Linked DNA regions of Saccharomyces cerevisiae S288C. Changing the gene in region 1 together with any one later gene gives a genetic interaction. Each region holds a gene or a part of one and is shown in the gene's direction. Other genes may lie near its edges.

Region 1 (5,040 bases):
ACTCCGGAAGAGATAGAGAAATTTCTCATCATGCTGACGGGACTGTCAACAGCTAAAGTATATTTCATTGAACGCGCTCAATTTCTCTTATTGAAATACTATCATCGAGAACTAATTTGGGCGTGTGGAGACGATTCGCATATGATTAGTCTAGTTGACTTATTATGCAGCACGGCAATTATGCTGGGTTTACACTTGAATATAAGAGAAATATACAAAAATCAAGAAAATATTGTGGGGAGTATGGAAAGTTTGGAAAATTTGTGGGTTTGGATTATATTATCAGATTTCAATGTTTCTTTAAATATTGGGAGATGTTTGGCGATTAACTCATCCTATTTTCAAGTCGATGAATGCGAGAATGGTGAGAGGTTGCCTAAAAATACAAACAATTATTCATCGACGGTTTTTTTCGATCAGTCAAATTCCTGCATGGGCAAGCTTAAAAGGTTTTTAAGATTAGCTCGACCAATGCTAGATCAAATTTATGATAGAAGCGCATTTCCAGACTTAGCCGAAAATTGTAAAAAACTAAGAAACTTTGTAGAGACTGAATTCCACCCAATATCATATTACACTGACAGTGAGTTAATATCTAAAGTTCCTTTGTGCGAGATTAAAGTGCTTGCGCAGGTTTTGAATTTGTTGTTGACGTTTTATTCCTTGAGGTATTTGATTTACAAGGAAAAAAGCGTTGTTTTAGAGAACAACATCCTGCAAACCATTTTGGTCTCTTTTTCCCTTGTCATCAATACGACCATACTGTGTTTTAACCTAGATGAGAAGCATTTTCCTGAGTTTTTTGATCATAATTGCGTTCATTTACCGCCATTTATGGCCTTGTCTTTAGTATACACAAATTTCCTTTTTCCTAGGGCCTCTACTGGCTTTTGTGCGTTTTTGTATCATAAGTTAACTCTTTTTGAGAAGGGCTATTATCTATCATCCAACATCAAAGATCAAGAAGTCACAGATTGGGATTTGTCAACCTTGAATATCCCGTTGGATAAAGCTATGAACTTACTTACTGCTTTCAAAATACATTCAGATATATTTGCTAAATGGTCTAATGATAACAACAAGCAGTTAAGAATTATTATGGCTCGCTCTTATACATTTGTTATCAACATCGCCCTGGAAAGCATATATAGAGCTGTTTTGGAAAAAGTAATCAAATATAGAACCGAGGTCGAAAACACATGGTTACAACAACTCCAAGACGAATTGAATGGGTCCTATTCGCTCACTGACAATGTAAATACTCCAATCGATCCCAGTTTAAGTGACCTGGGCGTCACAAGCGCCAGTCCATTGGCGGGAAATTCTCCAGGATTACCCCCGGAGGAAGTGCGAAATAACAGCGAAAACGCTTCGCATAACAATGAAACTGGGCCAATTGAGACTGAACTGGCACAGACAATATCCAACGAATTTTGGACGGCGTACAACCTTGGCTGGGAGGAACTAATGAGTCAGCCAGATTATAAATATTTATTTGATACGCAGTAGAGGAGAAGTTCTTTTACAAAAAAACATGCTTGCGACAGCAGCTAGATAGAAAACTTGCATATTGTAATGGAAGACAGTCGAGAGCAAGCCATTGGCTTGGACTTGCGCTTGGACCTATCTTTCGGACCAACTATTTAATGATTAGTAAGACAAAAATGACATTTAAGCATCTATAAAATAAGAAAAATAAAAAAATGAAGGGAAAAAGCTAAACACTAACTTCTTGACCAAACAAACAAGGAAAAGCCAGTAATTGCGTGAACAAAAGGCACCTGCAATTGTTCTGATGGATGTACTTTGTCCAACCTATTCTGCAAGAAAAAGAAATCAACTCCAAAGAAGTATGGAGCTTACTGGCACTCTAGCCTCCAAAAGCTGTTAAAGTGTTCATTCGATTGTCAAAAATCTTCCCCATAATAATCACCCACCTCAACAAAATACTTCCACTTAATTATTGATCGATTAGAGCTAGCGTCAGTGATTATATGCTAGTCCGAAAGGACAGCCCCATGACAGCGGCCGCGCAGACGCCTAGGGGGGAAATAAGGGGTGACAATACCAATGAGTATAAAGGCAGAAAGAAGAGAAACAGAAGCACGGGGGTTTCGTTTGGTCTTCAAATATATGTTAGGTCGGTACCTTTTCATTGCAAAATTGAAAAGATTTGAGCGTGTAAAAGTAAAAAAATACATGATGGGTTCCCAAGATTTAGCTAGTTTAATTGGGAGGTTTAAATACGTCAGGGTGTTAGATTCGAACCCTCATACAAAGGTAATCTCACTACTAGGCAGCATAGATGGGAAGGATGCCGTGTTAACTGCTGAAAAGACGCATTTCATATTTGATGAAACGGTACGTAGACCCTCTCAAAGTGGCCGTAGCACTCCGATTTTCTTTCATCGTGAAATAGACGAGTACTCCTTTTTAAACGGTATTACTGATCTGAAGGAATTAACTTCGAATGACATCTACTACTGGGGGTTGTCTGTTTTGAAGCAGCATATTTTGCATAACCCAACTGCGAAGGTTAACTTAATTTGGCCCGCCTCGCAGTTCCACATCAAGGGATACGACCAGCAGGATTTACATGTCGTCAGAGAAACTCCTGATATGTATAGAAACATAGTTGTGCCCTTTATCCAAGAGATGTGTACCAGCGAAAGAATGAAATGGGTAAACAACATTCTTTACGAGGGCGCCGAGGATGATAGAGTTGTTTATAAGGAATACAGTAGCAGGAATAAAGAGGATGGATTCGTCATCTTGCCCGATATGAAGTGGGACGGAATCAACATTGATTCGTTATACCTGGTCGCGATCGTGTACAGGGACGACATCAAATCTTTGAGAGATTTGAACCCAAACCATAGAGATTGGTTAATTAGACTCAATAAGAAGATTAAGACCATCATCCCCCAGCACTATGACTATAATGTAAACCCGGACGAGCTAAGAGTTTTCATTCATTATCAACCTTCATATTACCATTTTCATGTCCATATAGTGAATATAAGGCATCCAGGAGTAGGCGAGGAGAGAGGCTCCGGAATGACAATACTGTTGGAAGATGTTATAGAAGCGTTGGGTTTCTTAGGTCCTGAAGGTTATATGAAGAAGACGCTTACTTATGTCATTGGTGAAAATCATGATTTATGGAAAAAGGGCTTTAAGGAAGAAGTTGAAAAGCAACTGAAGCATGATGGTATCGCAACCAGTCCTGAAAAAGGCTCTGGGTTCAATACCAATTTGGGTTGAAGGTAGAAGAGCAGCACTATTTTTTCATGTGCTGAACTTCAGGAAGCGCCGGCTTATATAAATGTCTTATTTAAATGTTTGTGTATACATCTCAATGGATTTTGAATTTTAACATAGAATGCGAATGCACAGTAACATAGTACATTCAGTTGCTATTTTCCGTATAAGCTTTCTTTCCCTTATAGCATACATAGCCTTTGACGTATTGCCAGCCTTTTCAAAGAAATGCGAAAAAATAGTGCATTACCACCTACGTAAGGTAGGCTGGAGAAAAAGATAAACTTTTGCATTCTCTGCTCACCATACCGCGAAGGAAAGTAGTTATAACGTGTCCCGTTTTCAACAAGGTTTTCTGGTATATTGTTAACGGTGGAGAAAGCATCTAGTATCAATTACTTCCAGAGTACACACAACGAATGTTATGTCTGTCCAAGATACTAAAGCGGTAGAGTTTTCTATGGGTCACATCAGATCATCCTCTGTATCCCTGGTAGCAGAGGCTACTTCAAACACGAATAGTGAAGACAAATTATCTAAGGTCCAACTCTACGAAGATTTGTGCCGGTACGAGGATACATTGAGTAAGTTGGTGGAATCTGTAGATCGTTTCAAACCAAACCTTGATATTGCCAAGGATTTGATCAGAACTGATGAGGCCTTGTTTGAAAACGTCAAACTGTTAGCTGAATATGACAATATCTACCGCAACTTACAGAAGATTGACAAAGACTCTGAAGAACTAGATTCTAAAACCAGGAAGATATTGGAAATTCTAAATGAATGTCATGACGAGTTAAAAGCACTACCGATGCTTGAACAAGTAGAGTTCGAGAAAAACACAATTTTACAGCAAAGATCGAAAATCAATTCGACAGAGTTGTTGGATTATGCCACCAAACTCTCCAAGTTTACCAAAATACCACCAACGTTCGACAAGGGAGCTGTGGGACCCAACAATTTTATATGGCCCGCAGAGGATGCCCTACGAAGAGGAATGCTTGCTATGGCCTCATTACATAGTAAAGAGCTAACTAGAATACCCGGTGAAGAAGTAGAAGAAACAGAAGTACCGACCGTACCGCCATCTCAAAGTGAAGAACAAAAAGGGCAGATGGCCAAGAAAGAAGGTACACCAAAGACAGACTCGTTTATATTTGATGGTACTGCTAAAGAAGTTGGTGATGAGGCAGACAATACCAAAGATAAAGAAAAGGAAGAAAATAATGATGATGCCCTAGATCTTGATCTTGATCTGTTTGATCCGGACGACTTCTAGTTGCAGTGTCTTGAATCTCTTCCTCGTTAGGAATGAAGAAAAAAAAAAGTTAGACAATAATTCGTGTAGGTAAAAGCGTATATAAAATTACATATATAATTTACTGCAATATGTCAAAGTGTATGAAAAACATTTGAAAGTAAGTTCCCACAGGAACTGGAAAATAAGACAACAAGACTGTGACTTCCACACGCATCTGTCGTTTTTGGCCATCTACTCTTCCTTTTTTGAAATAGGCTTTGGTGAGTAACCACTAAAACTCATTTTTCTCACACGTTCACCTGATCCACTTGCAGCGTTAGAAAATTCCTGCTTGAATCTTTCAAAAGCTTTAGAAAGGTTTTCCTCTTCTATTTCAAGACCATTTTTATTTCTCCATTCTTTGTAATCTTTGCAGAAATCTTCCCAATCTTCCTTAGCATTGTCCCACTTTTCTAACTCAATTGGTGGAATACCTAAGTTCATTTCTTCTTCTTCTGCTGTCTTTCCCTTTTCATGTT
Region 2 (4,795 bases), on another chromosome or scaffold:
TCCTTTTTCTTTTCCAGATTATCGATTTCGTTTTGAACTTTGCCTTGTTTCAAATTAATCTGGTTAATCTTAAAGATCTGAGCATCCAACTGTTGAGATAAGTTACTTAAGTTCGTGGTCCAGTCATTGAACTCCTTTTGGACATTCGTTTTCTCATTGTTCAAATCATCGATTTCTGACTTAACGTTGGTTTGTTTGTCCAAGACCTCATTTTTCTCCTGCAACTTTTGGTTTTTCATATTTTCAGTGTCTTTTAATATCATTAGTTTCTTATTATTATGCTCGGCATTAACATCAATGATTTTTTTGACCAACCGGTTTTTACTAACTTCAATTTTCTCAGAAGTTTCTTCTCTCATGGCCTTCATTGAATTTTCAATTTCGTCAATCTGATTTTGTAAATCTTGTAGCTTTTCTTTGTATTCTTTATTTTTAGCATCATATTTATCCTTTTCCTTTGCTCGAAGATCAGCTAACCATGCTTGATGAATTTTTTCATCATAATTGATTTTATCATAAACTGCCTTTGATAGGTAACCATGTTCTTTTGTCTTTACAATTAATTCAGGATTTTCTGGAGTGGCCACTGGATTGGATGGAGCGGCGGTCTTACTTTTTTGGGTAGATGAAGAAGTAGGGCTTTTCCATAAAGCGAAAATTCCGGTTCTTTCCTTTCGAGAAGGTTCCTGAAAAGGGACCTTGGGAGCCTTGCTTGGATCGATTGGGCTTTCATCTTCTTCGGATTCCGGTTCCGAGGTTTCTGGAGTAGACGTTCTCTCAGCAGATTCCTCTGCAGACGATTGTTCGGTTTCCTCTTCTGCATCCCCTTCCGCTTCCACTTCCTTTTTTTCTTCCCCACTGGGAGGATTGACTTTTTTTACATCGGATTTTTCCTCCTTTTGTTCGTCTGTTGGCACGACACCTGACTTTGAACCGCCACTTTGATCTGTAGTGCGTGGTTCCAACACCCCATTCTCGGATGAGATTGGTTCCGCTACATTAATTTGAGCTGAATCAGCAGTGCCTTTGCCAATTGAAGTAGACTCACTCACTTTGTCTTCATGTTCTTCCTCCACGGAAGTTGCTTCATCAGCACTATTTTCGACAGCATTAGTAGTAGAAGTGCTGGTAGTAGAAGTACTGGTGGTAGTGGTTGTCGTAGTTGCAGTGTCAGCAGTTGCTTCAGTGGCCTCAGATGTGGTAGTAGAAGTAACGTCCCCTTCATCTGATGAAGACGATGACGATGACGATGACGATGACGATGACGATGATGATGTAGAAGTGGACGAAGAAGTAGTAGTGTCAGTGTCATCTTTTTCATCCTTAGTTAAGTCAGTAATTTTCTGGCACTTCTTCAAATATTTCAAATGTTTCTCCTTTAGTTCCAACTCAGTTAGTAACTGATATTGTCTTTCTTCATTTTGAGTTAGGTAAGTTGGAAATCTAATATCTTTGGCTCTCTTAGCATTTTTTGGTATGTTTTTGTACCCTAAATCCTTAGGTTGCTGTTTTGAATAGGCAGAAGTAGCACTTACGGTAGGAAACTTTCTGTTTTTTGCGTCTTCCCCATATGCCCGGTTGTTTTGCCTATTGGCGAGGGCATCTTGTCTAAATGGCGAGACCCACTCTTCCTTACCTTTTGGCTCATTGGACACAACCTTTTGCAAAAACTGATAAGGGCTTTCCTGCTGATGCGCTTGCTGATTTTGCGTATTTGCCGAAGATTGATTGATCAATTGCGTAAAGGGGTCGTCTTCTTGACGGTTGATATTGAATAGCATGTTTTGAATACGTAGTTGATTGACCTCTTTCTTTTAATTGCGTGCAGCTGCTCTCAGGTTTAAGATGTACGAGGGTCCACGGGGTAGCAAGCACAAGAACGATGATATATATGACAGAACGATGGATAAGAATGGTATGTTGTCTGCACTGTTCAGCATTCGACTACCCCTCTCCCGGTTCTTTTCTCCTCGTTTCAATTTAAAAAAGCAACTCGCTACCCGGCCGCACACCCCTTATTCCTGTTCAGCCGTTTAAGGTGAGAACCCTTTACTTCATAGCCTTTGTAGATCTTTCTATTGCTACCATTGAAGGGTCGGTGACGTGGAAATTTTGACATTTATCAGTGGCGTATTGGGAGGCAAGCAATTGAAAGAACTGTGATTTATTTCCGCTTGTTCGAAATTATTGATGTTTAGCACTTTGCAGTAGCGACAATACAATATATGTGCTTTTAGTGCTGGGATAGTTCGTAGCTCCATTTCGGGGCGCTTGTTACATTTATTGTATATGCGCGGATGTGGCACATGCTGTTGAGATCTCACTCCTTTGGTATCTCTTTCCTGCGCCGCATTGTGCCGGCAGAATGTCGCGCTTGTATTCTCATGAACTTTTCCTCTTTACGAACCCTTTGGCGGCATGCCGTTTAAAATCTGTTGAAGATTTCCTTTACGAACAATGAGCAATGTTTTGCACAGGCAGGTGGGAAGTAGGGCCTATCGCGCCTTGGATGCAGATATAAGTATAAATATAAATTATAATAATTGGCTGTATCAGTAAATCCTTCTTGCGATGGGAGGAAGCACGATAGAGTATGTTAAGCTTTTGAGAGGCTTCATATTCATTGGAATTTTAAATAACAATAAAGCAACAACAATAATAAATGCTATCAGCTGCAGATAATTTAGTGCGCATCATAAATGCTGTTTTTCTTATTATATCCATAGGTCTAATCAGCGGCCTGATAGGTACACAGACAAAGCATAGTTCTCGAGTGAACTTTTGTATGTTTGCCGCCGTTTATGGTCTGGTTACGGATTCATTATATGGGTTTTTGGCTAATTTCTGGACATCATTAACATACCCAGCAATTTTGCTTGTTTTGGATTTTTTAAATTTCATATTTACGTTTGTAGCAGCCACCGCTTTGGCTGTAGGTATAAGATGCCATTCGTGTAAAAACAAAACATATCTGGAACAGAATAAGATCATACAAGGCTCAAGCTCCAGATGTCATCAATCTCAGGCTGCTGTTGCGTTTTTTTACTTTTCCTGTTTTCTATTCCTCATCAAAGTGACTGTGGCCACGATGGGTATGATGCAAAATGGTGGATTTGGCTCTAATACCGGATTCAGCAGAAGGAGGGCAAGAAGACAAATGGGCATACCTACAATTTCCCAGGTTTAAGCCTACTGGACTGAAAAAAAGGCAATTCGCGTACAATTTTCGTTGATCGTTCTTTATATAACCTTTGCATTAAATAAATTTAACAAAAAAAGTTCTTTCTAAAATAATATTATGGTGATACATGAATGTGCTTTAGTTTTTTCGTAGGCTCATCCATGTATATATATAAATGATAAAAAACTAAGTTACGATATTGATAGCATACGTATTCGTGTTGGTAACTAAATGGAAAGATGGAATATGTTATTGGCGTTGTTATCCCCCATATATACAGGTTTCTAATATGATTAAAAAAAAATTTTCTCCCCTAGTTTATTGTGTTCATAGCTTTTCCAGACTTAACGGCCAATGTTCAAAAGCAAGGAATTTGGTGATCCCGAAGACTCGCTGTTACCACCACCAGAATGTTGACTTGGTAAATAGACAACGTTAGATGAGTTTGCTAATGTTTGAGCGATGTCCTTAGAAGCTTCTAATCTTCTAATCAATAACAGACCATCACCAACTTTAGCTAAGGCTTTTGAAATGAATTCAGCACTTTCTGCTTCACCTTCAGCTCTGATAACAGAAGCTTGTCTCTCTTGCTCTGCCTTTTCGACAAGGAATTTGGCTCTTTCGGCATCTTGCTGTGCAATCTGCTTCTGCTCAACTGCTTTCGTGAATTCGGGACCAAACGTCATATGAGTGATAGAGACATCTTCCAACTTAATACCGAATTCGTTGGCCCTCGTAGAAAGCTCTTTTCTGATTTTTTGAGAAATAATTTCTCTCTGAGTAATTAACTCAGCAGCATCAAATTGAGCTACTATAGACTTTAAAACCTCATTGCCGATAGATGGTAACACTCTTTCGTCGTAATCGAGACCCAAATTTTGGTATATTGCGGGTAGCTGTAAGACCTCTGGTCTATGTAAGACTCTCAAGGTCAATGACACCATTTGCAAATCCTTCGTACCAGTATTGGTAGCAATGCTCTTTGGTTTCGTCCTCACATCGTATATGATCGCCTTCTGTAGCCAAGGCACCAAGAAATGAGTGCCTTCACCCACAACCTGTTGCTTTACACCATTGATTCTGTCGAAAATAACACCACGAGAACCACCCTTCACATCATACATGGAGTACTGAATCCCGCTAGCAATTATACCAATGGGCAACGCCACCTTGGTGATGACATCGATAAGTTTGGCAGAATTAGACATTCTTTTCTAAAGTAAATTATTGATTTTGAATGTAAGTTTCGTACCGTTGATGGTTGGTTTACCGATTTATTTTTTTTCCTCTTCTTTCTGCTTAATATTATATACCTCAACCGTTGCATCCATGAGATCGTCAAACTCCCTTTCCCTGAAATTTATTGATGCGATACATTCGCGTTACCCGTATCATCATGAAGACGAGTTTATTCTCATCAGTGTTGATCTCTCATACTTGAATAACTCATTTGCAATGGTCTAAGACTCCAACTATGTAGTCATAGTCATTCACTGAAGTTTCTCTTTTCGAAATCCTGAACGGAAGCGGAATATATGTGGTATATATCGCATATTACTGCTTCACAGCATGCAGCGCAGACTGGCCGGGTTATGCTGCCACTTACTGGAGACA
Region 3 (5,719 bases), on another chromosome or scaffold:
AAATAATACTATCATCGTTGTGATGCAAAAAAAAAAAAAAATGAACAGAAAATAATAGTGATGTGAATGGTTTCGTGCCAAGGAACAAGGCCATGCATAGTAAACCTTCTCACTATGCCAAGTGAGGATAAATTGGGTGAAGAGATATCAACGAGGGTGATTAATGAGTATTCAAAACTAAAATCTGCCTGCAGACCAATAATTAGGCCTTCAGGTATCAGAGAGTGGACAATATTGGCAGGTGTTGCAGCTATTAACAGAGATGGCGGTGCGAATAAGATAGAGATACTTTCCATAGCTACTGGTGTGAAGGCTTTGCCAGATTCAGAACTACAAAGAAGTGAGGGGAAGATTCTGCATGACTGTCATGCAGAAATACTGGCATTACGAGGTGCTAATACAGTTTTATTAAACCGTATTCAAAACTATAATCCATCAAGTGGTGATAAATTCATTCAACATAATGACGAGATACCTGCCAGATTCAATTTAAAGGAAAACTGGGAGTTGGCATTGTACATCTCGAGATTGCCCTGTGGTGATGCCAGCATGAGTTTCCTGAATGATAATTGCAAAAATGATGATTTCATCAAAATAGAAGATAGCGACGAATTTCAATACGTCGACCGTAGTGTGAAAACAATATTGAGGGGACGCTTGAATTTCAATAGAAGAAATGTCGTTAGGACTAAACCAGGAAGATATGATTCCAATATCACTTTATCTAAATCCTGTTCTGATAAATTATTAATGAAACAACGGTCGTCGGTACTGAATTGTTTAAATTATGAACTCTTTGAAAAACCTGTATTTTTAAAGTACATTGTGATTCCTAATTTAGAAGATGAAACGAAACATCATCTAGAGCAATCATTTCACACTCGTCTACCGAATCTAGATAATGAAATTAAATTCCTGAATTGCCTCAAACCATTTTATGATGATAAATTGGATGAGGAGGATGTTCCTGGTCTAATGTGTAGTGTCAAGCTCTTTATGGATGACTTTAGCACCGAAGAAGCGATTCTTAATGGCGTGAGGAATGGATTTTATACCAAATCATCGAAACCACTGAGGAAACACTGTCAATCGCAAGTAAGCCGGTTTGCACAATGGGAACTATTCAAAAAAATAAGACCAGAGTATGAAGGAATAAGCTATTTGGAATTTAAATCTCGTCAAAAAAAGAGAAGCCAGTTAATTATCGCAATAAAGAACATTTTATCTCCCGATGGTTGGATACCCACCAGAACGGATGATGTGAAGTAATATATATATATATTGTTGAATATGCGTATATGCACACTTTTTTGTTAGTGCACCTTAAAGAAATATATACACAGTAGAAATATCTATATATCCAGAGTTCATCTATCTTTCCCTCTCTGTGGTATTATCATCACATATTTTATCATTTTTTATCATCTTCTTCGTCATCGTCAGATGGACCATCATCTATCATTTCCCCATCCTCATTGTTATCACCTGATCCATTGGTACTATCAATCGCTAACTCGGCACCCTGCAAAAGGTCAATTAATTCATCCAGTTCATCACCATGAACCAAATCAACTGGCTTTTGATTGTTATAGTTTCTCACCCTAGGATCCGCACCCACTTCAATTAAGTTTCTAGCAATAAAAGTTCCATGCTCAGGCTCCTCTTGACTGTATCTGACAGTAACATGTAACGGAGTGTCGCCATCAACGTCGTTTTGTGGGTCTATTTCGATTTCACCGTCTTGATCGAGAATCTTGTCGAGAACTTCCCAGGATCCATACTTACAACATAAATGTAACGCTGTATTCCCCAGTGGTTCTTTGGATTCGTTAATTAGCTTTGCAATCTTCTCAGGATCATTATCTAAGCTATCAAATACGGTCTCCAAAAGATCCAGATTGTTTCTTCTAGCTGCATCCAGCAATTGTTCACTTAAAGAAGCACCTTCAGTATTCATGATCAAAAAAAGAAACTAATTTATTTTGTGAAAAACTTCGACTTCTTTCACTTATGACTTTTTTCACTGGGATTCAGAAACTACCTCACAGGACCCCTATATAATGAATTTATTGTCAACCTTTCTATCAACGCGTTATACCTTGGGTATACTAGGAAAAAAAAAAAAAGATACATATGGATGTATATGACCTGCATACACGATCCGAAAATCTTGAACGTAATTGTAACACTATCAACACATTAAAATGGATATTAATGAATTGATAATAGGTGCTCAATCAGCTGATAAACACACTAGAGAAGTTGCGGAAACGCAATTGTTACAGTGGTGTGATTCCGATGCATCTCAAGTGTTTAAAGCGCTGGCAAACGTTGCCTTACAGCACGAAGCTTCTCTAGAATCGAGACAGTTTGCTTTATTGTCGTTAAGAAAATTGATCACCATGTATTGGAGTCCAGGATTTGAATCATACCGTTCTACATCGAACGTCGAAATAGATGTTAAAGATTTTATCCGAGAAGTGCTACTGAAATTATGCTTAAATGACAATGAAAATACCAAAATAAAAAATGGTGCATCTTACTGTATTGTTCAGATATCTGCGGTTGATTTTCCTGATCAATGGCCGCAGCTTTTAACAGTTATTTATGATGCTATCTCTCATCAGCATTCATTAAATGCGATGTCTTTATTGAATGAAATTTACGATGATGTCGTATCTGAAGAAATGTTCTTTGAAGGCGGAATTGGCTTGGCGACAATGGAGATCGTTTTCAAAGTACTCAATACAGAAACTTCTACTTTGATAGCCAAAATTGCTGCTTTGAAGCTACTTAAAGCATGTCTTCTACAAATGAGCTCCCATAATGAGTATGATGAGGCGTCACGAAAAAGTTTTGTCTCCCAATGTTTAGCTACTTCTTTACAGATATTGGGACAATTGTTGACTTTGAATTTTGGAAACGTAGATGTTATTTCTCAGTTGAAATTTAAATCCATTATATACGAGAATTTGGTTTTTATTAAAAATGATTTCTCTAGAAAGCATTTCTCAAGTGAATTACAAAAACAGTTCAAAATAATGGCAATCCAAGATCTGGAAAACGTTACCCATATAAATGCAAATGTCGAAACTACTGAAAGTGAACCCCTTTTAGAAACAGTTCATGATTGTTCTATTTATATTGTAGAATTTTTGACTAGTGTTTGCACTTTGCAATTTAGTGTTGAAGAGATGAACAAAATTATAACATCTTTAACCATTCTTTGTCAGCTAAGTTCTGAGACAAGAGAGATATGGACAAGCGATTTCAATACATTTGTATCGAAGGAAACAGGCCTAGCAGCATCATATAATGTTAGAGATCAAGCCAATGAATTTTTTACTTCATTACCCAATCCTCAACTTTCCCTAATTTTCAAAGTTGTTTCCAACGATATAGAACACAGCACGTGTAATTATTCAACTTTAGAATCTTTACTATATCTCTTACAGTGTATTTTGCTTAATGATGATGAGATAACTGGTGAAAATATCGATCAATCTTTGCAAATTTTAATAAAAACGTTAGAAAATATCTTAGTATCACAAGAAATACCAGAATTAATATTGGCGCGTGCAATTTTGACTATTCCCAGAGTACTAGACAAATTTATAGATGCATTACCTGATATCAAACCCTTGACATCTGCATTCTTGGCAAAAAGTCTTAATTTGGCGCTAAAATCTGATAAAGAGCTCATTAAATCCGCAACATTAATAGCATTTACGTACTATTGTTATTTTGCCGAACTAGATTCAGTCCTTGGACCAGAGGTCTGCTCAGAAACCCAGGAAAAAGTAATTCGAATAATCAACCAGGTTAGTAGTGATGCCGAAGAGGACACTAATGGGGCTTTAATGGAAGTATTAAGTCAAGTCATTAGCTACAATCCGAAAGAACCTCATTCAAGAAAGGAAATTTTACAGGCTGAATTTCATCTTGTGTTCACGATCTCATCCGAGGATCCAGCAAATGTACAGGTCGTTGTACAAAGTCAAGAATGCTTGGAGAAACTATTGGATAATATCAATATGGATAATTACAAAAATTACATTGAATTATGTCTCCCATCATTTATTAATGTGCTAGATTCCAACAATGCAAACAATTATAGATACTCACCCCTGCTATCATTAGTCTTGGAATTCATCACAGTTTTTTTGAAGAAAAAACCCAACGATGGATTTTTACCAGATGAAATAAATCAATACCTATTTGAACCATTAGCAAAAGTATTAGCGTTCTCTACTGAAGATGAGACCCTACAGTTAGCCACGGAGGCATTCAGCTACCTGATTTTCAACACAGATACACGAGCCATGGAGCCAAGGTTAATGGATATCATGAAGGTTCTAGAAAGGCTGCTGTCTTTGGAGGTATCGGATTCAGCCGCTATGAACGTCGGTCCATTGGTAGTTGCCATATTCACAAGGTTTTCAAAGGAAATCCAACCGTTAATAGGAAGAATTTTGGAAGCCGTTGTGGTAAGGTTAATTAAGACACAAAACATTTCTACTGAGCAAAACCTTCTTTCTGTATTATGCTTCTTAACGTGTAATGATCCTAAACAAACGGTGGATTTTTTGTCTAGTTTCCAAATTGACAATACTGATGCTTTGACATTGGTGATGCGAAAATGGATAGAAGCCTTTGAAGTCATTAGAGGTGAAAAAAGAATCAAAGAAAATATCGTTGCTTTGAGCAACCTTTTCTTCCTGAACGACAAAAGGCTACAGAAAGTGGTTGTCAATGGTAACTTGATACCATACGAAGGGGACCTGATCATTACAAGATCAATGGCTAAGAAAATGCCAGACAGGTATGTACAAGTTCCACTTTATACCAAGATCATTAAATTGTTTGTTTCTGAGTTAAGCTTCCAAAGTAAACAACCGAATCCAGAACAATTGATCACAAGCGATATTAAGCAAGAAGTGGTAAATGCTAATAAAGATGACGACAATGATGATTGGGAAGATGTAGATGATGTACTCGATTACGATAAGTTGAAAGAATATATTGATGATGATGTCGATGAAGAAGCAGACGACGATTCAGACGATATAACGGGACTCATGGACGTGAAGGAATCTGTTGTTCAGCTACTGGTAAGATTCTTTAAAGAGGTTGCAAGCAAAGATGTGAGTGGCTTCCATTGTATTTACGAGACTCTATCCGACAGTGAACGTAAAGTTCTTTCAGAAGCCCTTTTGTAGCTTATATACATAAGCCGTGGAGATATCAGATGTAAAGTAGTTAGAGTAGAAAAAATGCGGCAAAATAAGCGCCGTCTATATAAAAGAAAGAAAGTGTTAAATAAACTGACCACAGAAGGTGGCAAAAATAATACGAGATTTAGAAGTCAGATAATGGACCCGATTGGAATAAACAAAGTCTTGGACCATTTAGCACCCTCAGAGCTTATCAAACCTGTTAAGAGTTGCCATAATAAACCTTCAGTGTTGGTGTTGGATGACAGGATTGTGGATGCGGCAACCAAAGATCTCTACGTGAATGGGTTCCAAGAAGAGATTCAGTATCAGAATCCTACACCGGAGAACTTGCAACATATGTTCCACCAAGGTATTGAAATATTGGATTCGGCAAGGATGATCAACGTGACACATTTAGCGCTTTGGAAGCCTTCTTCTTTTAAGTTGGGGAATCCTGTGGACTTTGCTCTAGATGATAACTACGATACGTTTTGGCAGAGCGA
Region 4 (5,501 bases), on another chromosome or scaffold:
CTGCCACAGAGGGTGTGTCTGCCATGTATATTTCATGACATAAGCGCAACTGATGCAAGTCCCTGAATTCAAAGGAGCTGCCAAAGAGTTTCTGGCCTGCGACGAGGATATCGTTTGTACTCTTGGGCTCTCGGGGCCTTTTTCGCGTTACTCTTGAAATTTTTTGATCATGATCTGAACTCGCCGCCTCACCTGCCACTACGTCTTCCGCATTCCGAGTACTAGAGAATGAACAATGGTAGTCGCTTTCAAGGCCTAACCATTGAATCCAGCGCTCGGAAGTGAGTCCGTCAAGCGTCTTTAGTCGAGGCTCCGATGAACCGTTCTTGTTGTATCGTCGACGTATACGTTGCGCTGTAGCTCTGGATAACGGTAAGCGTATCACCGTAAGCTCGTCAATTATTTTTGAGAGCCGCGGTCATTTTGTTAGTATCTCTTCTCAACTTGGGCAGCACACATGCAAAACATCACCCAATCGGTCCTTTTTGTTCATCATATCGTTACATATCTGTGAAAAGTACTTTATCTCAGTGGGTTTACGTGGGCATAGATCACGCTTCAGCCGCTCTGTGTCGACTTTCTTTTCGCCAGGTAAACTTGCTTGGTATGCAGAAAAAATCGATAGCTCATCTACGTGTAGTAACAAAAACATGTGGGGTGCCAAATTGTACCCATATTTCCTTATGGTGCTTTTCTGAAGACTCCTTACAATAGGTGCGCCAGAAACAAAGTCAGTGAAAGTACGCATCGTAGAGCTGTCGTTCGGCCTGGCACTCGCTATTTCGTGACAACGTTCCAGGACACGGAAACTCAACTCATTATAGTATCCTCTGTTGAGGTAAAAAAGAGAAAGGGTATCGTAATCCTTTCTATTGAATTTCAAAGTATGCACTTGAAACAACGTGTAGACCATCAAGTTGATTTTCTTGGGAATAAGATACTTTGAAGGGATTGGTCCGCCCTGGAAATCTGGTTCGTCTTCAACAAACGTCAGGAACTTTTGTACATTTTTCCCGACCATGACGGAAACGACAATTTTTTCAAAAGACCTTTTCCTATCCATTGCACCAGTTCTGAATTTTACCACTTTGATTAGGCCAGACTTTTCGTCTTCGTAGAATGACCGCACTTCCGTGGGGATCGATTCAAATAAAGTTATTGAGGGACAATGTACCAAGTCGTTTTTGTTATTTAGAGCCGACTCAAACTCGTCAAAGTTTGCTTTTTCAAACTTACGCCTATCGGAAACTTTCATTTTATTTTTGTAAGTTTCGAAATTAACAATAGTATGTTGATTGTTATGCTTTTTGACAAGAAATCCATCAATATAAACAAAAGATTGTCCAGTTTCCGTCTTATCATCATCTAAGAATGTAATAATTAAGCTACTCTATTGAGAAGAAGCAGAATCTGCGCTATGCAGGTGCAAATCTCCAGCAGCAGCAAAGAAAATTCAGTTAATAAGAAATCTCACTAAGATAAGCGACTGTCTGTCCCAACATAGAAAACAGAAGGATGTCTCATTCATCGCTTGATTTCCGGCCTGCAAAAATAAAGCAGTCGGTACGTGCTTTCGTTTTCAATTTCCATGGTGCACAGTATCTTAACCGTCTGCTTAGTCGAGGAGAACCAGGATTCTGTTCGTTGCTCAGCCGCTTCGTGGATAAATTTTATTACCCCGCTGAGGTAGAGGAGCCCTTTTTGGCGTACCAAGTCACTTCCTAATGCTCCATGTCCCACCCACCATGTTGAAACGTTGACAAATGATCGTAAATAATACACACGTACTTACCCACACACACCACATGCCACACTCACTTGCACTTGTATACTGGTACGGCATACGCACACGGATGCTACAGTATATACCACTCTCAACTTACCCTACTTTCACATTCTACTCCACTCCATGACCCATCTCTCACTAAATCAGTACTAAATGCACCCACATCATTATGCACGGCACTTGCCTCAGCGGTCTATACCCTGTGCCATTTACCCATAACGCCCACGATTATCCACATTTTAATATCTATATCTCATTCGGCGGCCCCAAATATTGTATAACTGCTCTTAATACATACGTTATACCTCTTTTTCACCGTATACTAACCACTCAATTTATATACACTTATGCCAATATTACAAAAAAATCACCACTAAAATCACCTAAACATAAAAATATTCTATCCTTCAACCATAGTACATAAACACACTCAATTGCGTATCAATACCACCATGACGTCATTAACTTAAATGTTCCTTAATACCGTCATACCACTATGCTCTATTCCATATATTGTAATATAACTGTACTCTATAGTCATACAGACGCTTTTACTTCACCCTATCTTCTCATACTATTGTCATAGAATCTCACACTGACGCATGATTAAAACGAATAATTTTTACTATAAGGCCTCCCATCCGTGCTCTACCCTTTTGTTTGCAATATTTATACAGAATCTCAAAGCAAGCGGGAGAAGTGGTGATTACCCAGATGTCATGCATGATCTGAGCACCACCGTACCTCTAGGTTTTGCCTTGATCAATTTTACAGTGACACCAAGCATAAGGATAAAAAATGGTATTGAAAGGTTGTCCACATTTGTAAGTAACTTGGTTCTATGAATCTTCATGTCAGATACGTAGGACGGACTCTTTCCTGTGTAAATATTTGTGACAGCTACGTCTATTTTCTACTAGATGTTTACACAGTTTTGTCACAGGAAATCTACGCTTAAAATATGTATTTCATTCAAGCGGTAACCGCTGTACGAGCAGTGACATTGCTGGTCGCACCTTAAATGTAAACCAAAGTTACGGCACACCGTGATGCACCCGCATTAAAGTTTTGTAAATTCGTTATTACGATTATCGAGTTGGCTAGATAGAAAACCGGAAATGAAATGGATGCCCTTTTCGAATAGCTGAGTTTCTTTGCCTAAAATAGCCCAATATTGTTTCCCTTTTTCTATCACGAGGTTACTGAGCCATTGCATGAACGCGCGCGCCTCGGCGGCTTTTTTTTTCTGCTGTGCTGTATAAAAGCGAAAAGTCAGAAGTTACTATTTCGAATAAAAAACCCCTCGAACTGCCATCTCACTACCGAAAATGAAAGAGAATGAAGTCAAAGATGAGAAAAGCGTAGATGTGTTATCCTTCAAACAGCTCGAATTCCAAAAGACCGTTCTACCTCAAGATGTTTTCCGAAACGAATTGACCTGGTTTTGTTATGAAATTTACAAGTCTTTAGCGTTTCGCATCTGGATGCTGTTATGGCTACCACTTAGCGTCTGGTGGAAACTTTCCAGCAATTGGATTCACCCACTTATAGTTTCACTTCTTGTCCTGTTCCTGGGACCATTTTTTGTCCTTGTTATTTGTGGACTTTCTCGTAAGCGTTCCTTATCGAAACAACTCATTCAGTTTTGCAAAGAGATTACTGAAGACACACCAAGTTCGGATCCTCATGATTGGGAAGTCGTTGCAGCAAATCTAAATTCGTACTTCTATGAAAATAAGACTTGGAATACCAAGTACTTTTTTTTCAATGCCATGAGCTGCCAAAAAGCGTTTAAAACAACCCTTCTCGAACCCTTCTCTTTAAAAAAAGACGAATCTGCAAAGGTTAAGTCATTTAAGGATTCCGTTCCTTATATCGAAGAGGCCTTGCAAGTGTATGCTGCAGGATTTGACAAAGAGTGGAAGCTGTTTAATACTGAGAAGGAAGAGAGTCCTTTCGACCTGGAAGACATTCAGCTCCCCAAAGAAGCTTACCGATTTAAGCTTACCTGGATTCTTAAAAGGATTTTCAACCTGCGGTGTTTACCACTCTTCCTTTATTATTTTTTAATTGTCTACACGTCTGGAAATGCTGACCTTATATCACGTTTCTTGTTTCCGGTAGTAATGTTTTTTATCATGACGAGAGATTTCCAAAATATGAGGATGATTGTTTTATCCGTGAAAATGGAACACAAGATGCAGTTCTTGTCAACTATTATAAATGAGCAAGAAAGTGGTGCGAATGGATGGGACGAAATTGCAAAGAAAATGAATAGGTATTTGTTTGAGAAAAAAGTCTGGAATAATGAAGAGTTTTTCTACGATGGACTTGACTGCGAATGGTTTTTTAGGCGCTTTTTCTATCGTCTCTTATCTTTAAAAAAACCTATGTGGTTTGCTTCGTTGAACGTTGAGCTATGGCCATACATTAAAGAAGCGCAATCGGCCCGCAATGAGAAGCCCCTAAAGTAGGAACAAATGTTCCTTTTCCAAAATATACTATGTGTAGTTGATCGAATATCAGTAAGTCAAAACGTATTTTACTTGTTTATTATTATTAATACTCCTTTTCGCATATGTTTTATCACTTTACACCATACAATAACCACTAAATTCAAAAACACTTATTTTCAATATTTGTTATAGAAAAATAACCACTAAAATCACCTAAATATAAAAATATTCTACCCTTTAGCAATAAGACTGAAACACTTTACTTGGGGTAAGAATACTGCCATGGTGTCATTAACATGAAAGTTCAATAATGTTTTCATACTAATCAATATGTACACAGGCTTCACATTAGAACATCATATATTAAAGCGGTAACTTAAAATCCAGATAATACATTTTTGGTCATATAAGTGCTTTTTTTTTGTAGGATATAATCGCAAATGATATCACTACACTATGACATATTGTTGACGTAGTAAATTACGATTTAGCTTATATGTCATAATGTAGTAAGTTTATATATGTTATGTAAATGTAAGAATTACATAGGTACTGTTTTTGTACACAGAAGCTATAATTTCTCAAGTACTACCGGATTAGAGGTTTGCTACAATACGTTTTCCACTATATGTTTTCTATGTGTGAAACATTACTGAAACATTACTCATATTACGCTTTTGTGTTATCACATTAAACATATACATGGTAACAAATATTACTATCACTTATCTTGCTTCATCTTATGTACCATACAAAAATTACTGCGCATATCAGAGATCATTTTTTCGAACACATATCCTGTTGGGGTTTTGTAAATCTTTCTTATGACCTGCCTAAGGCCTTTGCAAAACGTTTCGCGATCCAGTCATTGATAGGATCATCTTCCTTGGTTTGGACATATTCTCTGTCAGGTAACTTTTGGGCAAAATCTTCAGTCAACCGAGGATCTCTTACGCAGAATGTTAGAAGGAACATAGGCGCTGAAAATACAAGCGCAACAATAACTTCGTATTTTTGAACGTGTCTGTAAGCTTCAACCATCGCAGACCTAACTGGAGTACCCCAGGGATTGGAAAGAATAAAAGTTAGTGGTGAGCCATATGCTGCTGTAGCCAGGTCAGCGTCTCCCATGTAGTGCAATAATTTAGGGTACAATGACTGCGTCCATATGGCACCGGAAATGGCAGCTGCAACTGCTCCACCTATTCTGAAAACTGTATAGTTTAATGCTGTGACAGTAGCCATATTCTCATGGGATG

The links.
Region 2: mutations in MED4 (region 1) and FHN1 together harm fitness less than expected from each alone (positive genetic interaction), as found in Saccharomyces cerevisiae (one large-scale study listed by BioGRID).
Region 3: mutations in MED4 (region 1) and KAP114 together harm fitness more than expected from each alone (negative genetic interaction), as found in Saccharomyces cerevisiae (2 studies listed by BioGRID).
Region 4: mutations in MED4 (region 1) and COS8 together harm fitness more than expected from each alone (negative genetic interaction), as found in Saccharomyces cerevisiae (one large-scale study listed by BioGRID).

The regions. Positions count from the first base shown.
Region 1 is NC_001147.6:655,062-660,101, forward strand, and holds MED4 (Med4p), read left to right. Parts: upstream 1-3,685; coding exon 3,686-4,540; downstream 4,541-5,040. Other genes in the region: YRM1 (Yrm1p), read left to right, coding at 1-1,509; DCS2 (5'-(N(7)-methyl 5'-triphosphoguanosine)-(mRNA) diphosphatase), read left to right, coding at 2,203-3,264; ALE1 (lysophospholipid acyltransferase), read right to left, coding at 4,754-5,040. UniProt on the Saccharomyces cerevisiae protein: Component of the Mediator complex, a coactivator involved in the regulated transcription of nearly all RNA polymerase II-dependent genes.
Region 2 is NC_001139.9:752,064-756,858, forward strand, and holds FHN1 (Fhn1p), read left to right. Parts: upstream 1-2,662; coding exon 2,663-3,187; downstream 3,188-4,795. Other genes in the region: YGR130C (uncharacterized protein), read right to left, coding at 1-1,781; prohibitin subunit PHB1, read right to left, coding at 3,526-4,389. UniProt on the Saccharomyces cerevisiae protein: Involved in membrane organization. Required for the formation of membrane compartments of CAN1 (MCCs), localization of CAN1 at the MCCs and subsequent invagination of the plasma membrane at the MCCs sites.
Region 3 is NC_001139.9:43,241-48,959, forward strand, and holds KAP114 (karyopherin KAP114), read left to right. Parts: upstream 1-2,204; coding exon 2,205-5,219; downstream 5,220-5,719. Other genes in the region: TAD1 (tRNA-specific adenosine deaminase), read left to right, coding at 67-1,269; ankyrin repeat-containing protein ANK1, read right to left, coding at 1,412-1,957; anaphase promoting complex subunit DOC1, read left to right, coding at 5,373-5,719. UniProt on the Saccharomyces cerevisiae protein: Required for nuclear protein import and mediates docking of import substrate to distinct nucleoporins. Serves a receptor for nuclear localization signals. Mediates the nuclear import of TATA-binding protein (TBP) and of histones H2A and H2B.
Region 4 is NC_001140.6:3,287-8,787, forward strand, and holds COS8 (Cos8p), read left to right. Parts: upstream 1-3,114; coding exon 3,115-4,260; downstream 4,261-5,501. Other genes in the region: YHL050C (uncharacterized protein), read right to left, coding at 1-25; YHL049C (uncharacterized protein), read right to left, coding at 440-1,255; YHL048C-A (uncharacterized protein), read right to left, coding at 2,377-2,511; ARN2 (siderophore transporter), read right to left, coding at 5,065-5,501.